Macaca mulatta: one gene and its partners. The protein of the gene in region 3 binds, or shares a complex with, the protein of the main gene of each other region. Links are inferred from orthologs where the notes say so. Each region holds a gene or a part of one and is shown on either strand. Other genes may lie near its edges.

Region 1 (6,032 bases), on a different chromosome or scaffold from region 3:
ACTGGGAGGTTCCTTTGCATCCCGGGCGTTATCTGGGGTGACTCATGAGGCTGCCTTGGCTGGGGCGGGAGCCTCCACACTGGCCTCGTTCCTGTCTGGGATTTGGTCCTGGCTGTGCATGGGGCAGCTTTATTCTCTCCCTTGGCCCCTTCCTCTGGAAGGCCAGCCCTGCTTCCTCACAGCTCGCAGCTGGGTTCCATGGGAGGACAAGCTGGGGCTGCAGGGTCTCTCAGGGCCTCCAGGTGGAACTGTCAGAGCATCCCTCCCACCAGGTTGTACTGGCCAAAGCAATACAGCCAGCCAGGGTCCTCCTCTGGACAGAGCAGCGCGCCATCACATGCAGGTATGGGAAGGAAGAGTTGGTAGCCATCTATGTGACCACCTGCTACAGTTAAGAGCTTTCTCAATTTACAATTTTACTACTCACTGACGTCTGCCTCTCAGTGCCCTATACTGGGTGTCTTTAATATTCTATTCAAATGGGAACTTAGGCCAAAGAGCTCCCCACTGGGGGCACTGGGTATTAGTCTTGCTCTTCCCTTAGCCAGTCGAATGCTCTTTAGTAAGCCCTTTTATTTGTTTGGGTTCAGTTTCCTCATTTGTTCCACCTGGAGTTTGACAGTCGGTGGGGGGTGGACAGCACTAGATAAGTTTTAAATTAAGTAGACTAGCCGGGTGTCGTGGCACACGCTTGTAGTTCCATATACTCAGGAGGCTGAGTCAGGAGGATCGCTTGAGCTCAGGAGTTCCAGGCTGTAGTAAGCTATGATGGGAACCACTGCACTCCAGCCTGGGCTACAGACCCTATCTCTAAAAAAGTATCATAAATAAATAAACAAAGGAGAAAATGCAGGTCAAGTGCGAGCATTGTGCAGGGCATGTGTTATGCTAGTAGATGTCACTGATTCTCCAGCCCTTAGGTACATTCCTGTCTTCTCTGGCAGACAGCAGCATTCCCCAGCAGGGGCTGGTGGCTGGCCCACGCAGAGGCTCCTCTAATGGCAGGCTCCTCCCCTCTGCAAGCCCTACAGCTCAAGGGAAAGAAACTTTAACATCAGAAAGAACTCAAGAAACCAGTTTTCCAAAACCTCTCTTCCCCTATGTTTACCCCTTTGTTATGAATTTACTTCTTGGGTGTCGAAATATTTAAGAACTCGGTGGAGACCAGTTTTATACGTTTCCTTCTGTCCTTCCTGGCTCCACAGCTGCAAAAACATCACCCCCACTACTGAGCTTACTATGGGGCCACGCAAGGGTAGACGCTTGACAGACATTGTCTGATGTATTCCTTACTGCAGCTCTCCACCCCCGCCGTCCCTGTCCCCCAGGGAGGCATTACTTCCGTTTCCCCCAAAAGGAAAACGAGGCACCGACAAGTTACGGAACTTGCTCAAGGTCACAGAATTTGAACTCAGGCCACAGATGCTGGAGCAACTGGATAAAGTCCTCATCGCCCCATATCACCCACCACCGACCCCCAGCAGAACGTGACCCCCGCCAGGACGGAGGCCAGCAGCTGGGGGGCTGGAGCATGGGACCCCAGACCACGGACTCAGGCCTGCGCAGCCTCCCGGCTTCTGGGCTCCCCGCCAACCTCCTTCGCATTCCGCTGAGAAGCCAGGGGAGGGGTTCACTCTCAAGGGCGCACAAAGGCATGAAAACCTTACTTCAGCCTCTGAGATGCGGAACTGACCGACCTATCGTCTTGGGACCCAACAGTGCGCTTGGGTGCACCAGCCCTCTTAACGTTGGTACCGGCTCCCTCCCGCCTCCTTCCCATCCCAGAGGGCCCCCTAGTCCTGGGCCGCACGTGCCTCTGGCAGCTCGAAGAAGCTGTCGGGGCTTGCAGGAGAGCGCGCAAACTGAAACCAAAACAGGCCGACGCGAGGAACGTCGGGGGGGGACTGCAGACCCGCGGGAGCACAGCGCCTGGGCCAGGGCCTGGGAGCCTGGGCTCCGCCCCGCGCTCCTCTGCACCCCTTCCCCACGCTGCTCCCCTCTTCCTAAGCGTCCCCCCCTCTCCCGGGCAGCAGAAGGGGTGGGACCCGGGCGGGCTCTGGGAAGGGGCCCTGGAGGAATGGATGGTGGCCGAAGGGCGGAGCAGGGGCGGGGCCCGCGGAGACTCCAAGGGGCGCCCCGGGCGTGAGGCACCCACTCTGGAAGCACAGAGAACTCAGGTAGTCCGGCTAGATGGCGGCGCGCAGCCTGGGCCGCGGCGTCGGGAGGCTGCTGGGCAGCCTGCGAGGGCTCTCGGGGCAGCCCGCGCGGCCGCTGTGTCGGGTGAGCGCGCCGCGCAGGGCGGCCTCGGGACCCTCGGGCAGCGCCCCCGCAGTTGCCGCAGCCTCACAGCCCGGCTCGTACCCCGCGCTGAGTGCACAGGCAGCCCGGGAGCCGGCCGCCTTCTGGGGGCCTCTGGCGCGGGACACTCTACTGTGGGACACCCCCTACCACACCGTCTGGGACTGCGACTTCAGCACTGGCAAGATCGGCTGGTTCCTGGGAGGCCAGTTAAACGTCTCTGGTGAGTGAGCTTCGGGAGACCCAGGTCGCCCCCAACTCTTGCGTCCAGAGGGAACTCGGAGCCTCTCGCCTGCGGCAGCCGTCCCCCGGCTGCGCGGATCGCACCCCTGCAGGGGCCCCTCCTCCGGTATTCCGTCCGTCCCGCCAGCTCTAAGCAGTGGCTCCACGTCACCCCGTCCCTCATCCCATCCGGCCCCAGATCCACGTGCCCAGCTCGGGCCGGTGCCCGCGGGGACCCGGTGGCCGCTTGGGACGCCCCGCTGCTGGCCTTGCTCGGCGCGGCTCCTCGCTCTGCTGACTCCAGAGTTGCGTTACCGAGTGCATAGCGCCGCGGAGCCAGAGCCGGCGGGGAGCCGCGGGCTACACCCGAGCGCCCTGGAGTCGGGACTTTCCCGTTGCTATACCGGGGTGGACGGAAAAACAAAGCGGTGGCGGTTGTCACTGGGGGCTGCGGTGCCCGGGGATCAGCCTGAGGACAAGCCCTGCCCACATAAACAAACAGAGCTGTGGCGGGCGACCTGGGGAGGAGGAAACCCGGCGTGGCAGCTGGAACCAGTTATTTCCTCGCTGCGGGCCTGGGGCCTGTGGGCGGGAAGGAAGTAACAGCGGCCTCCGGGTTCTCGTTCTCGGCCTCAGAGAACTGCACCCCAGCGACCCAAGGCCTGCTTTGGACCCGCGGGGTCTGAGGTTCCCGGTGGTCAGTGGTCTGAAACTTGCTGAGCAGAGGCCTCTGCTGCTCTGCTAAGATTTGGGGCTGGGGGTCGTACACTGCACCCTCGCCCCCACCTAAGGCGCTGACTGGGCAGCGAGGGGGAAGCCCTGAACTGCAGGCAGGGCTGGCCACGCAGGGTGGGTGCCAAGTGCAGGGTGGGCCCTGGATGCAGGGTGGGCCTGGGTGTGGGGCCTGCAGGGAGGGCCTGGCAGACACGGTGTTGATCAGAGGGATGCAGGCCAGAAGAGTGGCCATAACCAGCTTGCTGGATTTGGGAGTGTTTGAGAAAGGACTTGAGGGTCTTTATGGCAGGGTCACCAGGGCCCCATTTTCTCCAGCTCCTCCCTCAGTTATCCCTGTTGTTCTGCCCCCCTAGCCCTCAGTGTCCACATTGTGAGGAGGGGGGCAGTTATGCTCAGAGGTTAGGCTGAGTGCTGCAAGGTATGCAGCAGACCCAGCTCTTACTGGTGACCCACAGGCAGTAGCGATTTTAGTTTAACTGCAGATATAGCCATAGTAGGTAGTGTCTTGGTAGTGTCTTGTAGTTAGTTTTCAAAGAAATTGAAAGGAACTTTGGACCTCCCCCCGATATTGTATATTACTTTGCTGGTTTAATTAAAATGAGTCACTTAACTAGATAAGTGTTTTCTTTAACCTTGAGTCAGCAGCAAGTGCCCTCTAACTACTGGGAAAAAAACCAAACCCTTTGGTTTGCAGAGTTGGTGCAATGTGCCCTTGAAGGGGACTAGAGCAGCTTGCCCAAGGACAGAAATGGAAAGTGACCTGCTCTGGACTTGTGAGGCCAAGGTCATGGGGAACATTCACAGTTGGCCTGTGCACAGTTGCAGCCCCACTCAGATAAGACAGCGGGGCGGACCTCCTGGGGCCAACAGCAAGGACCTTCTGAACCTCGCTGGGTCAGGATCAGGGTGTGGTCAGCAAGCATTCTTCTGTCTCCTTTTCCTTCACTTATTTCTCCTGATAATATGGCCTTTACGGCTACCTTAGCCAGAAATTGAGCTTCAGAAAACTAACTTGAAAAACAGCTTTTCAGCAACTTTCTCCCCGGGATGTGCGTGCCCACCTGTTCATGGGTCAGCAATATCTCTTTCCTTTGTCGGTGTCTGCAAACCATAGTGGGGACAGTATGAAAAAGGGCCAGGCCAGGCCATGACTCCTCTGGGAGCCCCTAGAAAGTCATGGGATAGGTGAGAACACTTTGGCCTGATCTGTCAGCTGTGTGTGATAAAGTCAGATGGCTTGTTCCAAAGGAATATCACTCTTGAAGAAAACTTCATCTCACTCCTTCAAGAATACCAGTGGTTCTCAACGCATGGTCCTCAGACCAGCAGCATCAGCATTACCTGAGAACTTTTGAGAAACAGAAATTCTGAAGCCCATCCTGGATATCTGGAATCAGAAACCCTGGGTGGGACCTGACACCTGTGTTTATAACGAGCCCTTCAGGTGCTCTAGAGGACACTCGGGCTTGAGAACCACTGGTCTGTACGCCTCAAAACAGGGCAGATGAAGGCACTTCTGAAACAGAATTGGGATTAGTGCCCGGCCATGGCCCTGTTAAACAAAGAGCAAACAAACAATGGGCTGTGGATGGTGCAACACCGTTTTGTGGCTCCAGGTGTCTTTAGAATCAGGACTCGGGTTGATTTCTTGCTTTCCCTGTACTGCACTTTGCATGTTTCCTCATCTGTAAAACAAGGGCAGTATGTAACTGAATTATGTCCTAGTTACTATCGATGCACATCAAACCACCCCTAAGCTTAGTGGTACAAGATAACAACAATTTTATATTCCTCGCAGAGTCTGTGGGTCAGAACTTTGGACAGGGCCAGATGGGGATGACTTGTGTCAAAGGGCAAAATTCCGACAAATTTAGTTTAAAGATCTTAATTCACTTTTTTCGTGATTATAGAATTGGGAAACACCTAATTCCATAAAACAGAATGAATGTTTGATGAGTTGAGCAGAGGAGGATGGTTTTATAGACAGAAGGGTCTGAAGAATGCGGACACGGAGAACAAAAAGTGGACTGGTTATTTCAAAGCTACTTTTGCTGTAAAGGTGAAAGTGGAAGGAGCTCCCTTACTATGCCAGCTTGTTTGGAGATCGAGCTATCTCTCACTCTCCTTGTTTCTTAGAAGGCTAGATAAACAACTTAGTTTCCATTTGGTGACACGGCACTTTAGCAAGAGTGACTCCATTTTTGTGTGATCTATTGGGCCTGATGCGGCTCAGTCCAGACCAGTGGCCTCCTATACATTTTATTTAACACTTGCTTCTGCTCCTCAATGTCTGAGGTTGGAGTCATCTGCCTGTTTCTCACTCCCAAGTCTGGGGCCTGGTTTGGGACAACTTGCAGGCTGACTTCAGCCAGACCTGTGACCCAAAGCACCTCCTGGGGCTTGTCACAGCGTGGTGGCTGGGCCCAGGCAATGTCCGGCAACCAGAGGTCCAAGAGACCAGCACAGACACTATTAGGCATCTTCTGACCTGGGGAAGGGGACCTGACTGTTTGCACCTGTTTTGTTATCCATCGGAGTATCTATCAGCACACATACCCCAGGGCTGTTAGAATGAAATAAGAAAACGCTTGTAAGGCACTCAGCACTTTCTTAACACATTATACATCCCCAATCACTGGCCATTTGTTATTTATTAATGAAGCATGTGGGGAGGCTGTGACCTTGTGCTTGGCCTTCAGCAGTGCTGCTGAGAGAGCTGAGCTTCATTTGAACTGGACCACATGAGCTTGCATCTGATCAGCCTGGGATAGGTGGGG
Region 2 (4,573 bases), on a different chromosome or scaffold from region 3:
ATACAAAAATTAGCTGGGCATTGTGGTGAGTACCTGTAGTCCCAGCTTCTTAGGAGGCTGAGGCAGGAGGATCACCTGAGGCCAAGGAAGTTGAGAGTGCAGTGAGCTGTGATCATACCACTGTACTTCAGCCTGGACAACAGAGTGAGACCCTATCCCAAAAAAAGAAAATAGAAAAGAAAAGGGGAAGCAAAATCAGTCAGTCTCACTACCTCAAGATACCCTCTATAAGCTGGTATTTTCGTGTGGTTCCTATCGTTTTCTACATCAGTTCTCTGAATTGAGCAAAATCTTTGGGCTGTCAAACCTGAAATCCCCTTTACTTCCTTGGAAACCCTGTAGCATTAGTCCAGACATGTCCCTACTCCTCCTTGTGGCAAAAGAGAAGAATCTCATCTTTGGTCCCCAGAGTTCTGGCCTAAGCCTCCCTCTAGGAGGGAAGATGAGTGTTCAGACACTCAGGGTACCTGGGGGAGACACAGGCCTGTGAAATTATCCTAGCTCAACTATTAGGCGGGCAGAATCCCAGTGAAAGGAGCCGTACCCGAGGCCCATCTAAGCTTTGGCTAGGGGTGGGGCAGATAAGCAGGAATCCATCCCTGTAGGCTCAATGCCAACACCCTTTGGTGAAACTCCTGATGAAACTTGAGGCCAGGGCCCCAGCAAGCAGGGAAAGAAGGTTGGCAACAGAGGTCTCCATCTGAGGACTCTGCCAGGGGTCAGAGGTGGGGTAATGGTCAAAAGGAAGGAAGTGGCTCATGCCCATAATCCCAGCAGTTTGGGAGGCTGAGGCAGGAGAATTGCTTGAGCCCAGGAGTTTGAGACCTGCCTGGGCAATGTAGTGAGATCCTGTCTCTATTTAAAAAAAAAAAAAAAAAAAAAAGGAAGGAACAGGGAAACTTCTGAGAGACAGGCTGGGGGAGGCATCACGTAGCTGGGATTGCTGCCCCATAAAACAGAATGGTATGTGTCACTGCCACCTCCCTTTCTCAGTCCTCTCTCTCCCCAGGTTGCTAGCGTCCCCCCTGGGGGATCAAACTGGACTGCTTCCCAGCCTCAGACAGAGAGCAGTCTGAGTCAGGCAGGAAAGTGGGACAGCCGGGGAGCTGGACCCCACCCTCTGTGAACCCCACTGGTACCTGATGGCATGTGGCTTGGAGAGGGCAAGTGACCTGGTGTGGAGGGCCAGAGGGTAAATCCTCAAACAAGTGGCAACAGGCCACCAACTTGAAAGGGAAAATTGTGTAGTGATGGGAAATGTGTACAACAAACCTACTGGGTGACTAATTACAAAGGCTGGGCTGGAGCGTCAGAGGCTGCTTGTTAAACACTTCATTAAGTGGCACTCTGAAAGCTGCCACCTGCGCATTCTGGGAGCTCAGAGGGGACCCTGAGGGGGAGTGAGGCCTGAGGGATGGAACCATCTTCAGGTAGATTGAGAAAGAGCCTGGATCTCACTTCCAAACACAGCCTGGAGCTCATAGGTCAGAGACTTCAACGGGAGAAAAGCTAAAGGAAGCAGGGTGCAGAAAGGAGTTTCAGGGAAGTGGTGGCTATGTGACTTTGAGCAAATCTCACCCCTCTCTGAGACTTAGTGTTCCCATCTCTGTGGTCCTGTGTGTGTCACAGAGACACAGTGGGGATTAAATTCGATGGTGAATATGAAAGTGCTTGGGAAACTCTATGGCCCTACCTAAACATGAGTTATCCTCACCTGAATCAAGGGGAGAAGTTACCTGGCAGGATTGGGAACCCCATCCTCCTGAACCTTTATGGGCTCTGTCGAGGCAGAAGCAGCCAGGGGCTAAAGCCGCCCTTAGCCTCTGTAAGGGCGCTGTGAAGGAGGATCTGATTTGAGAAGCCAGGCAGTTTCCTGATGTGAGCAGCCATATGATGCCAGCCCCGAACAAGAGGGGGCAGCCTAGAGCCTGGAAAGGTGCCTGTGCAGGTGGGGCCCACGCCCAGATTTCTTCTGCTGACTGTTCTGATGACTCACCCCCACATCCCAGCCTTTTTACCTTTACTGCAGAGCCGGAAAGGGTGTGGGGAGGAGAGGAGACGGAGGCAGGTCTTGGGCCCTGGTCCCGCCCCCTGCTCCTCCCCACCCTTCTCTGGGCCTGGCCACCCAGCCAAAAGGCAGGCCAAGAGCAGGAGAGGCACAGAGTCCGGCATTGGTCCCAGGCAGCAGTTAGCCCGCCGCCCGCCTGTGTGTCCCCAGAGCCATGGAGAGAGCCAGTCTGATCCAGAAGGCCAAGCTGGCAGAGCAGGCCGAACGTTATGAGGACATGGCAGCCTTCATGAAGGGCGCCGTGGAGAAAGGTGAGGAGCTCTCCTGCGAAGAGCGAAACCTGCTCTCAGTAGCCTACAAGAATGTGGTGGGCGGCCAGAGGGCTGCCTGGAGGGTCCTGTCCAGTATTGAGCAGAAAAGCAACGAGGAGGGCTCGGAGGAGAAGGGCCCCGAGGTGCGTGAGTACCGGGAGAAGGTGGAGACTGAGCTCCGGGGCGTGTGCGACACCGTGCTGGGCCTGCTGGACAGCCATCTCATCAAGGAGGCTGGGGACGCGGAGAGCAGGGTCTTCTACCTGAAGATGAAGGGCGACTACTACCGCTACTTGGCCGAGGTGGCCACTGGTGACGACAAGAAGCGCATCATCGACTCAGCCCGGTCAGCCTACCAGGAGGCCATGGACATCAGCAAGAAGGAGATGCCGCCCACCAATCCCATCCGCCTGGGCCTGGCCCTGAACTTTTCCGTCTTCCACTACGAGATCGCCAACAGCCCCGAGGAGGCCATCTCGCTGGCCAAGACCACTTTCGATGAGGCCATGGCTGATCTGCACACCCTCAGCGAGGACTCCTACAAAGACAGCACCCTCATCATGCAGCTGCTGCGAGACAACCTGACGCTGTGGACGGCCGACAACGCCGGGGAAGAGGGGGGCGAGGCTCCCCAGGAGCCCCAGAGCTGAGTGTTGCCCACCACCGCCCCACCCTGCCCTGCCCCCTTCAGTCCCCCACCCTGCCGAGAGGACTAATATGGGGTGGGAGGCCCCACCCTTCTCCCCCAGGCGCTGTTCTTACTCCAAACGGCTCCGTGGAGAGGGACTGGCAGAGCTGAGGCCACCTGGGGCTGGGGATCCCACTCTTCTTGCAGCTGTTGAGCGCACCTAACCACTGGTCATGACCCCAGCACTGCTCTCCGCACCGCTTCCTCCCGACCCCAGGACCAGGCTACTTCTCCCCTCCCTCTTGCCTCACTCCTGCCCCTGCTGCCTCTGGTCGTAGGAATTGAGGAATGTCCCGCCTTGTGGCTGAGAACTGGACAGTGGCAGGGGCTGGAGATGGGTGTGTGTGTGTGCGCGCGCGCGCGCCAGTGCAAGACCGACATTGAAGGAAAGCATGTCTGCTGGGTGTGACCATGTTTCCTCTCAATAAAGTTCCCCTGTGACACTCCTCCTGTCTCTCTCCAGTTCTTGGCGATGGGTTGGGAGTGGAACTGGAATCTGATTTAGAGATCCTGACTTTCGACCTCTGAGTTAGGGCCCTGACCTCCCTGCGTGGCTCAGTGACCTGCACGCAAGACTTTGAGTCCAGGTGAGGCCGGGGTCCGGCTGTCTCCATCAGGGCGGCCCCATCAAACTGGATGGGACCGGGAGGGTCAGGTGAACCCACAGGAGGCGCCGAGCCTCCTCTGCAGGGCCGAGGGGAGGTGAGTGGGAGCCGCAGCGCGGGAGGCTGACGAGCTCAGGTGGAGCGGGACAGGAAATAGTGAAGTCTCCGGCATGAGATCTAAGGACAGCGCTGCAGTAGTGAGCGGCACTGAGCACCCGATTTACAGGCGGGTCACAGTCTCATCAAGGGCTCAGATCTCAGCGGAGGGAAGTACGATTTGAGGCAGGGGTACAGTGCCGCCATAAAAGCCCAGATCTTAGGAGAGGGTCACGTCCCAAAGAGTTCGGAAATGGAGACAAAAGGAAACGGGCTGGTGGGGAGGAAGGACGAGCTGGGTGGGAATGGCCGCTGGGAGCGTTGCCTACCGAGCCCGCCGCCTCCGCTCTCTGCAGCCAGCAACACGCCGGAACCTGCGGCCGCATTGCTGGGTCTCGCCTTCACAGCCAGGACTGGAGGCGGGGCCCGAGGCTCTGCCACCCAATCACAGGAGGGAGCTGCCCCAGGGTACCACCCCGGGGGGCCCGACGAGCCAATGGGAAACTGAGCGGCGGACCGCGCGCGGCGAGTTTCCCGCCGCCCGCCAGGCCTGGCGGACGCCACAACTAGCTGACTGACTGAGCGGCGCCCCCGCCGCCTGCTGAGCGCCGAGGGGCGGCGCTTTCCCGGTTTCACTCAGACAAGTTGTCACCCGTCTGGCCCGAGAGCTGGGAACCCTCTAGAGCAGCGGGACGAGGCAGGATAGCAAAATGCAGTGCCCGCCCGTTGAGTCATCAGCTCACCCGGCTGGGCCTGGGCCGGGCTGGCGGCGGGGTCGGCTGGAAAAAGGCCGCCAAGATGCCCCCACCACACTCCGGAGTCCAGGCAGCCCTGGACCTGTCGCCGAGACTTGGATTGTGTCCCT
Region 3 (5,355 bases):
TTGAAGGATATTTAGGCAGGAAAATGATGTGAAGGGATTTGCATTTAAAAGAGATTATGAGGGGCTGGGCACAGTGGCTCACACCTGTAATGCCAGCACTTTGGGAGGCCTAGACAGGCAGGTCACCTGAGGTGGGGAGTTTGAGAGCAGCCTGGCCAAAATGGTGAAATCCCATCTCTACTAAAAATACAAAAATCAGCTGGGTGTAGTGGTGCACCTGTAATCCCAGATACTCAGGAGGCTGAGGCAGGAGAATCGCTTGAACCCGGGAGGGGGAGATTTCTGTGAGCTGAGATCGCACCACTGCACTCCAGCCTGGGTAACAGAGTGAGACTCCATCTCAAAACAAAATAAATAAATAAATAAGAGAATAAAATAGATAATTTGGGCAACAAGTTGTTTTTTTTTTTTTTTTTTTGAGACGGAGTCTCGCTCTGCCGCCCACGCTGGAGTGCAGTGGCCAGATCTCAGCTCACTGCAAGCTCCGCCTCCCAGGTTCACGCCATTCTCCTGCCTCAGCCTCCCGAGTAGCTGGGACTACAGGCGCCCGCCACCGCGCCCGGCTAGTTTTTTGTATTTTTTTAGTAGAGACGGGGTTTCACCGTGTTAGCCAGGATGGTCTCGATCTCCCGACCTCGTGATCCGCCCGTCTCGGCCTCCCAAAGTGCTGGGATTACAGGCTTGAGCCACCGCGCCCGGCCACAAGTTGTTGTTAATTCCCCGCCTTTGTTCTCCTCCTTCAGTACTGTGTTGGCTGTTCTGAATCTTTTGCCTTTTCATGTAAATTTCCGAAACTGTTGCTATCTGTTCTCTGCCTGTTTTATTTTTGTTGTTGTTGTTTGGGTTTTTTTTTTTTTTTTTTTTTTTTTTTTTTGAGACAGAGTCTTGCTCTGTCGCCCAGGCTGGAGTGCAACGGTATGATCTCGGCTCACTGCAACCTCCGCCTCCCAGGTTCTAGCGATTCTCTTGCCTCAGCCTCCTGAGTAGCTGGAATTACAGGCGCGTGCTGCCACGCCCAGCTAATTTTTGTATTTTTAGTAGAGATGGGGTTTCATCTCTACTATGGGGTCAGGCTGGTCTCGAACTCCTGATCTCGTGATCCGCCCACCTCAACCTCCCAAAGTGCTGGGATTACAGGCATGAGCCACCGTGTCCAGCCTCTCTGCCTGTTTTTTAAGACTTTTGTCTTTGGAGTTTTGCAGTTTCTCCATGCTGGTTTTCCATATGAATTTCCTTTGATTTCTTCTGCGTAAAATTTGTGGGCCAGGTGGGCGCAGAGGCTCACGCCTGTAATCCCAACACTTTGGGAGACCAGGTGGGTGGATCGCCTGAGGTCAGGAGTTCGAGACCAGCCTGACCAACATGGAGAAACCCCATCTCTACTAAAAATACAAAATTAGCCGGGCATGATGGTGCATGCCTATAATCTCAGCTACTCGGGAGGCTGAGGCAGGAGAATTGCTTGAACCCAGGAGGTGGAGGTTGTGGTGAGCCAATATTAGGCCATTGCACTCCAGCCTGGGAAACAGGAGAGAGACTCCATCTCAAAAAAAAAAAAAAAAAAAATTGTAGACCTTCCTTGAGAAAAATAAAATACAATTCTAGGCCAGGCGCGGTGGCTCATGCCTGTAATCCCAGCACTTTGGGAAGCTGAGGCGGATGGATCACCTGAATTAGGAGTTTGAGACCAGCCTGGCCAACATGGTGAAACCCCGTCTCTACTAAAAATACAAAAATGAGTCACGTGTGGTGGCACCCATCTGTAATCCCAGCTACTTGGGAAGCTGAGGCAAGAGAATTGCTGGAACCCAGGAGGCAGAGGTTGCAGTGAGCCGAGATTATGCTACTGCACTCCAGCCTGGGTGACAGAGTAAGATGCCATCTCAAAAAAATAAAATACAAAATAAAATTCTAAGCCCTGCAACCAACTGAATGGACCCCTCCCCTTGGTCAAGGGAACCCCAGAGAAACCTTGGAAGTCAGTTCCTGGCCATAGCAGGAGGGGAGGTCAGATGCGCCTCATTATACCCCTCCCTCCCCAACCACCATTAGGCTTTCTTCACTAAGGGCTAAACAGAAACCAACACTTTTCAAAGACTCCATACTGCTAATGTGGATTACTGGCTTATCTTCCCAGATACAGATCAAAGGCAAGATGAGATGAATGGTTCCTTCACCCTTCCCTGAGAGGTCTGCTTAGTTCTCTTCCTCTGTTTCCTTCTGTCACTTCCTGAAGTCTCACAAGTACTTAACCATTCACCTCACAGCCACCCTCCCCCTTTGAAGGACCACGTATAATTACTAAACCTCCTGAGAACCTCTTGGGACAAAACCACAGATGTGCTTGTGACTCATGTTTTTCCTGTGGGCACCCTCATGCTGGCTCAGTAGCCCTCGCTTGCTTGAGATCCTGAATCTGTGGGTTGGTGTCTTTCATGGTTGCTGGATAATACTCGGCTGTTATCTTGGGATATGCATTGCCCCTGGCCCACTATCTGGCCCCTCTCTTTAGGGACCTCTGATTGAACCTACGTTAGTCCTTCTCTCTCCTGCTGTTCCTGATCACTCTTCTGTTCTTTCATTGCTCCTCCTTGTGCTGCGTTCTGGGTGATTTCTTCTGGTCTTTCTTCCGGTTTGCTAATATTGTGTTTTCTGTTATAAAGTCCTTCCATTGAGTGTTTGCTGCTTTCTTTTTTCCCAAAACCAACTCGAAACAGACGTTGAGCTTTAATTTTTTATTTCTGTACTTTTTATTTCTAGAAGTTCTGTTTGGTTATTTTTCACGTCTGCTACATTATTTTTTAATAGTTTTGTATCTTTGATAGTTTTTTTTTTTTTTTTGAGATGGAGTCTCACTCTGTTGCCCAGGCTGCAGTGCAGTGGCGCAATCTCAGCTCACTGCAACCTCTGCCTCCCTGGTTCAAGCAATTCCCCTGCCACAGCCTCCCAAGTAGCTGGGATTACAGGTGCGCACCACCACGCCTGGCTAATTGTTTGTGTTTTAGTAGAGACAGGGTTTCACCATGTTGGCCAAGACAGTCTGATCTCCTGACCTCATAATCCGCCCACCTCGGCCTCCCAAAGTGCTGGGATTACAGGCCTGAGCCACTGCGCCCGGCCTTTAATAGATTTTTCAAGTTCGTCTTTTTTTTGCTTCCTTAATTTTTTTTTTTTTTTACTATACCCCATGCCTCCAAGATAACAGTTTTTTCTTTTTAATTTAGATATAATACAGTTTTACTGTGTATCCAAGATTATCTGAAATCTTTTGTGGGTCTCTTTCTTTTGTCTTTTGTTTCTGTTGCTTCTTGCTGGATTGAGCCTGCTTAAAACAAGCCCCGTTAGCGGTAAAGGTTTCCCTTAGAAAGTCAGGTGTCTTCCTCTGTAACTCTCTCCCTTTTCCATCTGCTCCAAGGCATTAGTTTATATTAGTCTTGACTCAGTGAAGTTGTGTCTACTTCACCTTGGCCAGTAGGGAAGCAGTGTTTGGCAGATGTTACTCCTAATAATGCCAGCCAGTGAGTGAAGCCGACCTGAAAGCCTCCCCGGGCTGAGGCAATGGCATGATCACTGAAGCTCAAACCAGAGACAGTTTCACCTTGTGACCGAATGATGTTCGGTGTAGGCCAAATGCCTGCAGACTACTGTTGGAGGACCGGTGTGGTCTACCAGGTGTTTTCTTAGCACCAGAATGTCTCTGGTCACCATCCCAGGTGTAGAGCACGGTGTTAGATACGCTAGATGCCTGCCGAAGTAATAATGGGTGAAACGTATGATGTCCAAGATTTGCTTTTAAATGCTCCAACACCTCCTCCCAGATTCTGGAGGGCTATGACACAATCAGCTGTGAAAACTGGTAATTCCTAAAGCTGGGTACATGGGGGTTCATGATACCTCTCCCACCTTTTTTGGGGGAGAATGTTTGACACTTTAATAAGAACTTGTTGCCTTTTCCTTTTACAGGGTGTTGCAGGTATCTTCCTCAGGCCTGTTTTCTCTGTTTTCCAGGCTGACGTGATGGCAGACAGGGTTCCCCGCTGCCCGGTCTGCACCGGCGTTGTGAAGCCCGACATTGTGTTCTTTGGGGAGCCGCTGCCCCAGAGGTTCCTGCTGCACGTGGTTGATTTCCCCATGGCAGATCTGCTGCTCATCCTCGGGACCTCCCTGGAGGTTTGTCAGCCTGTGCAGGGAGGAGGCTGGAGGGCAGGGGAAGGGAGGGGTACAGAAATCATCTCATGGGCCCTTCTGGGGCTGGTGCCACTTTTGGAAAGTGAGTGGATTCAGCTGGGGTTCCAGGCTGAGGGAACAGCAGCCTGTGCGGGAGACAGGAAGGTAGGAAGCTGCTGGGCTTTGGAGGTGGTATAGGTGCGGGTGGGGCACCACGTGTGAGGAGAAGGGAGGAGGAAAGGGGGCGTCGGGATGAGGTGGAGGGGCAGGCCTCCCAGGTCAGATTAGGAATACTGATGCTGCGTTGGGAGTAGTGATAAATCCAAAGGGACTGGCCCAGGGACGTAGCTGCACCCTTGGGGTCAGAGAGGCCTTTGGGGAGTGGAGAGTGGAGCAAGCAGTGCCAGGAGGCTGGTCCTGAAGAAGGTGGAGCTGTGGTCACCTGAGGGACAGCGAGGAGGGGGACTGGACTTGCAGCCTGTGTTGTTTTGGGGGTGTGAGAAGGAGGCGTCTGGCTTGTTCTGTAAAGTCAGGGCATTTGCTGGTGAGGCGTGATTTGGGAGGGAGGATGCCCAGCTCGGTTCTGTGCATGTCTCAGGTGCCTGGGAAACGCCCCCTGGATGTGGCCAAGCAGCTGTTCTGCATCTGCGTCTGAAGCTCAGGAAATTCCTAAAAGCTGTGATGAGTCACGCAGTGTGTGTGTGACTGGATATAGGCACCAAGGGCAGAAGGGCCAGAAAGACCTGTGCTTCGAGGGGCCCAGGGCAGCCGCAGGGCCCAGAGCGTATGTTTGTTCGGGCCTTCATTGTGTGCTGGGCCCTGCTCCAGTGCTTTCAACATCCACAGTCAGATGTCAGTGTAAGAAGTTATGTAGTTTGTGAGGAGATGATTGATGTTCTGGGAAAGATAACAAGTAGGAAAGAAGGGCTAGGAGGGTTGGGAACCAGCTGCAGTGTCAAGCCAGGCAGGTGGAGTTGGAGCTAAGAGTTTACCAAGGTGAGGGGGGTCTGGCCGAGGACACTGCACAGGTGACAAACAGCCAGGAGGGTGGGGCGACGTCAGCAGTGACGGGCACGGGCTGGAGCAGAGAAGGAGGTGGGGCACAAGTGTCATCTCATGGGAGGCTGGCGCTGCCTGAGAAGATGAATGGATTCAGCTTGGGTTCCAGGCCAGAGCTTGGAAGTTGAG

What was found. The genes of interacting proteins can lie anywhere in the genome.
Region 1: the proteins of SIRT3 (region 3) and ACSS1 are in contact, whole or in part, in a crystal structure (PDB 3GLT), measured with the Homo sapiens proteins. The link is inferred for Macaca mulatta from reciprocal best matches to the Homo sapiens genes SIRT3 and ACSS1. Residues at the interface, in NP_036371.1 of Homo sapiens: Gly145, Ala146, Gly147, Thr150, Pro151, Asp156, Phe157, Arg158, Ser159, Glu177, Phe180, Gln228, Asn229, Ile230, His248, Ile291, Val292, Phe293, Phe294, Gly295, Glu296, Pro297, Leu298, Gly319, Thr320, Ser321, Leu322, Glu323, Val324, Glu325; in NP_115890.2 of Homo sapiens: Ser640, Gly641, Lys642, Val643, Met644, Arg645.
Region 2: the proteins of SIRT3 (region 3) and SFN are in contact, whole or in part, in a crystal structure (PDB 8ANC), measured with the Homo sapiens proteins. The link is inferred for Macaca mulatta from reciprocal best matches to the Homo sapiens genes SIRT3 and SFN. Residues at the interface, in NP_036371.1 of Homo sapiens: Arg99, Arg100, Ser101, Ile102, Ser103, Phe104, Ser105, Val106, Gly107; in NP_006133.1 of Homo sapiens: Asn42, Ser45, Val46, Lys49, Arg56, Lys122, Asp126, Arg129, Tyr130, Pro167, Gly171, Leu174, Asn175, Val178, Tyr181, Glu182, Leu218, Ile219, Leu222, Asn226, Leu229, Trp230.

Annotation. Positions count from the first base shown.
Region 1 is NC_133415.1:59,088,634-59,094,665, forward strand, and holds the start of ACSS1 (acetyl-coenzyme A synthetase 2-like, mitochondrial), read left to right. Parts: upstream 1-2,153; 5' UTR 2,154-2,190; coding exon 2,191-2,521; intron 2,522-6,032. UniProt on the Homo sapiens protein: Catalyzes the synthesis of acetyl-CoA from short-chain fatty acids. Acetate is the preferred substrate. Can also utilize propionate with a much lower affinity. Provides acetyl-CoA that is utilized mainly for oxidation under ketogenic conditions.
Region 2 is NC_133406.1:214,121,212-214,125,784, reverse strand, and holds SFN (14-3-3 protein sigma), read left to right. Parts: upstream 1-2,157; 5' UTR 2,158-2,222; coding exon 2,223-2,969; 3' UTR 2,970-2,994; downstream 2,995-4,573. UniProt on the Homo sapiens protein: Adapter protein implicated in the regulation of a large spectrum of both general and specialized signaling pathways. Binds to a large number of partners, usually by recognition of a phosphoserine or phosphothreonine motif.
Region 3 is NC_133419.1:99,884-105,238, reverse strand, and holds part of SIRT3 (NAD-dependent protein deacetylase sirtuin-3, mitochondrial), read left to right. Parts: intron 1-4,008; coding exon 4,009-4,170; intron 4,171-5,355.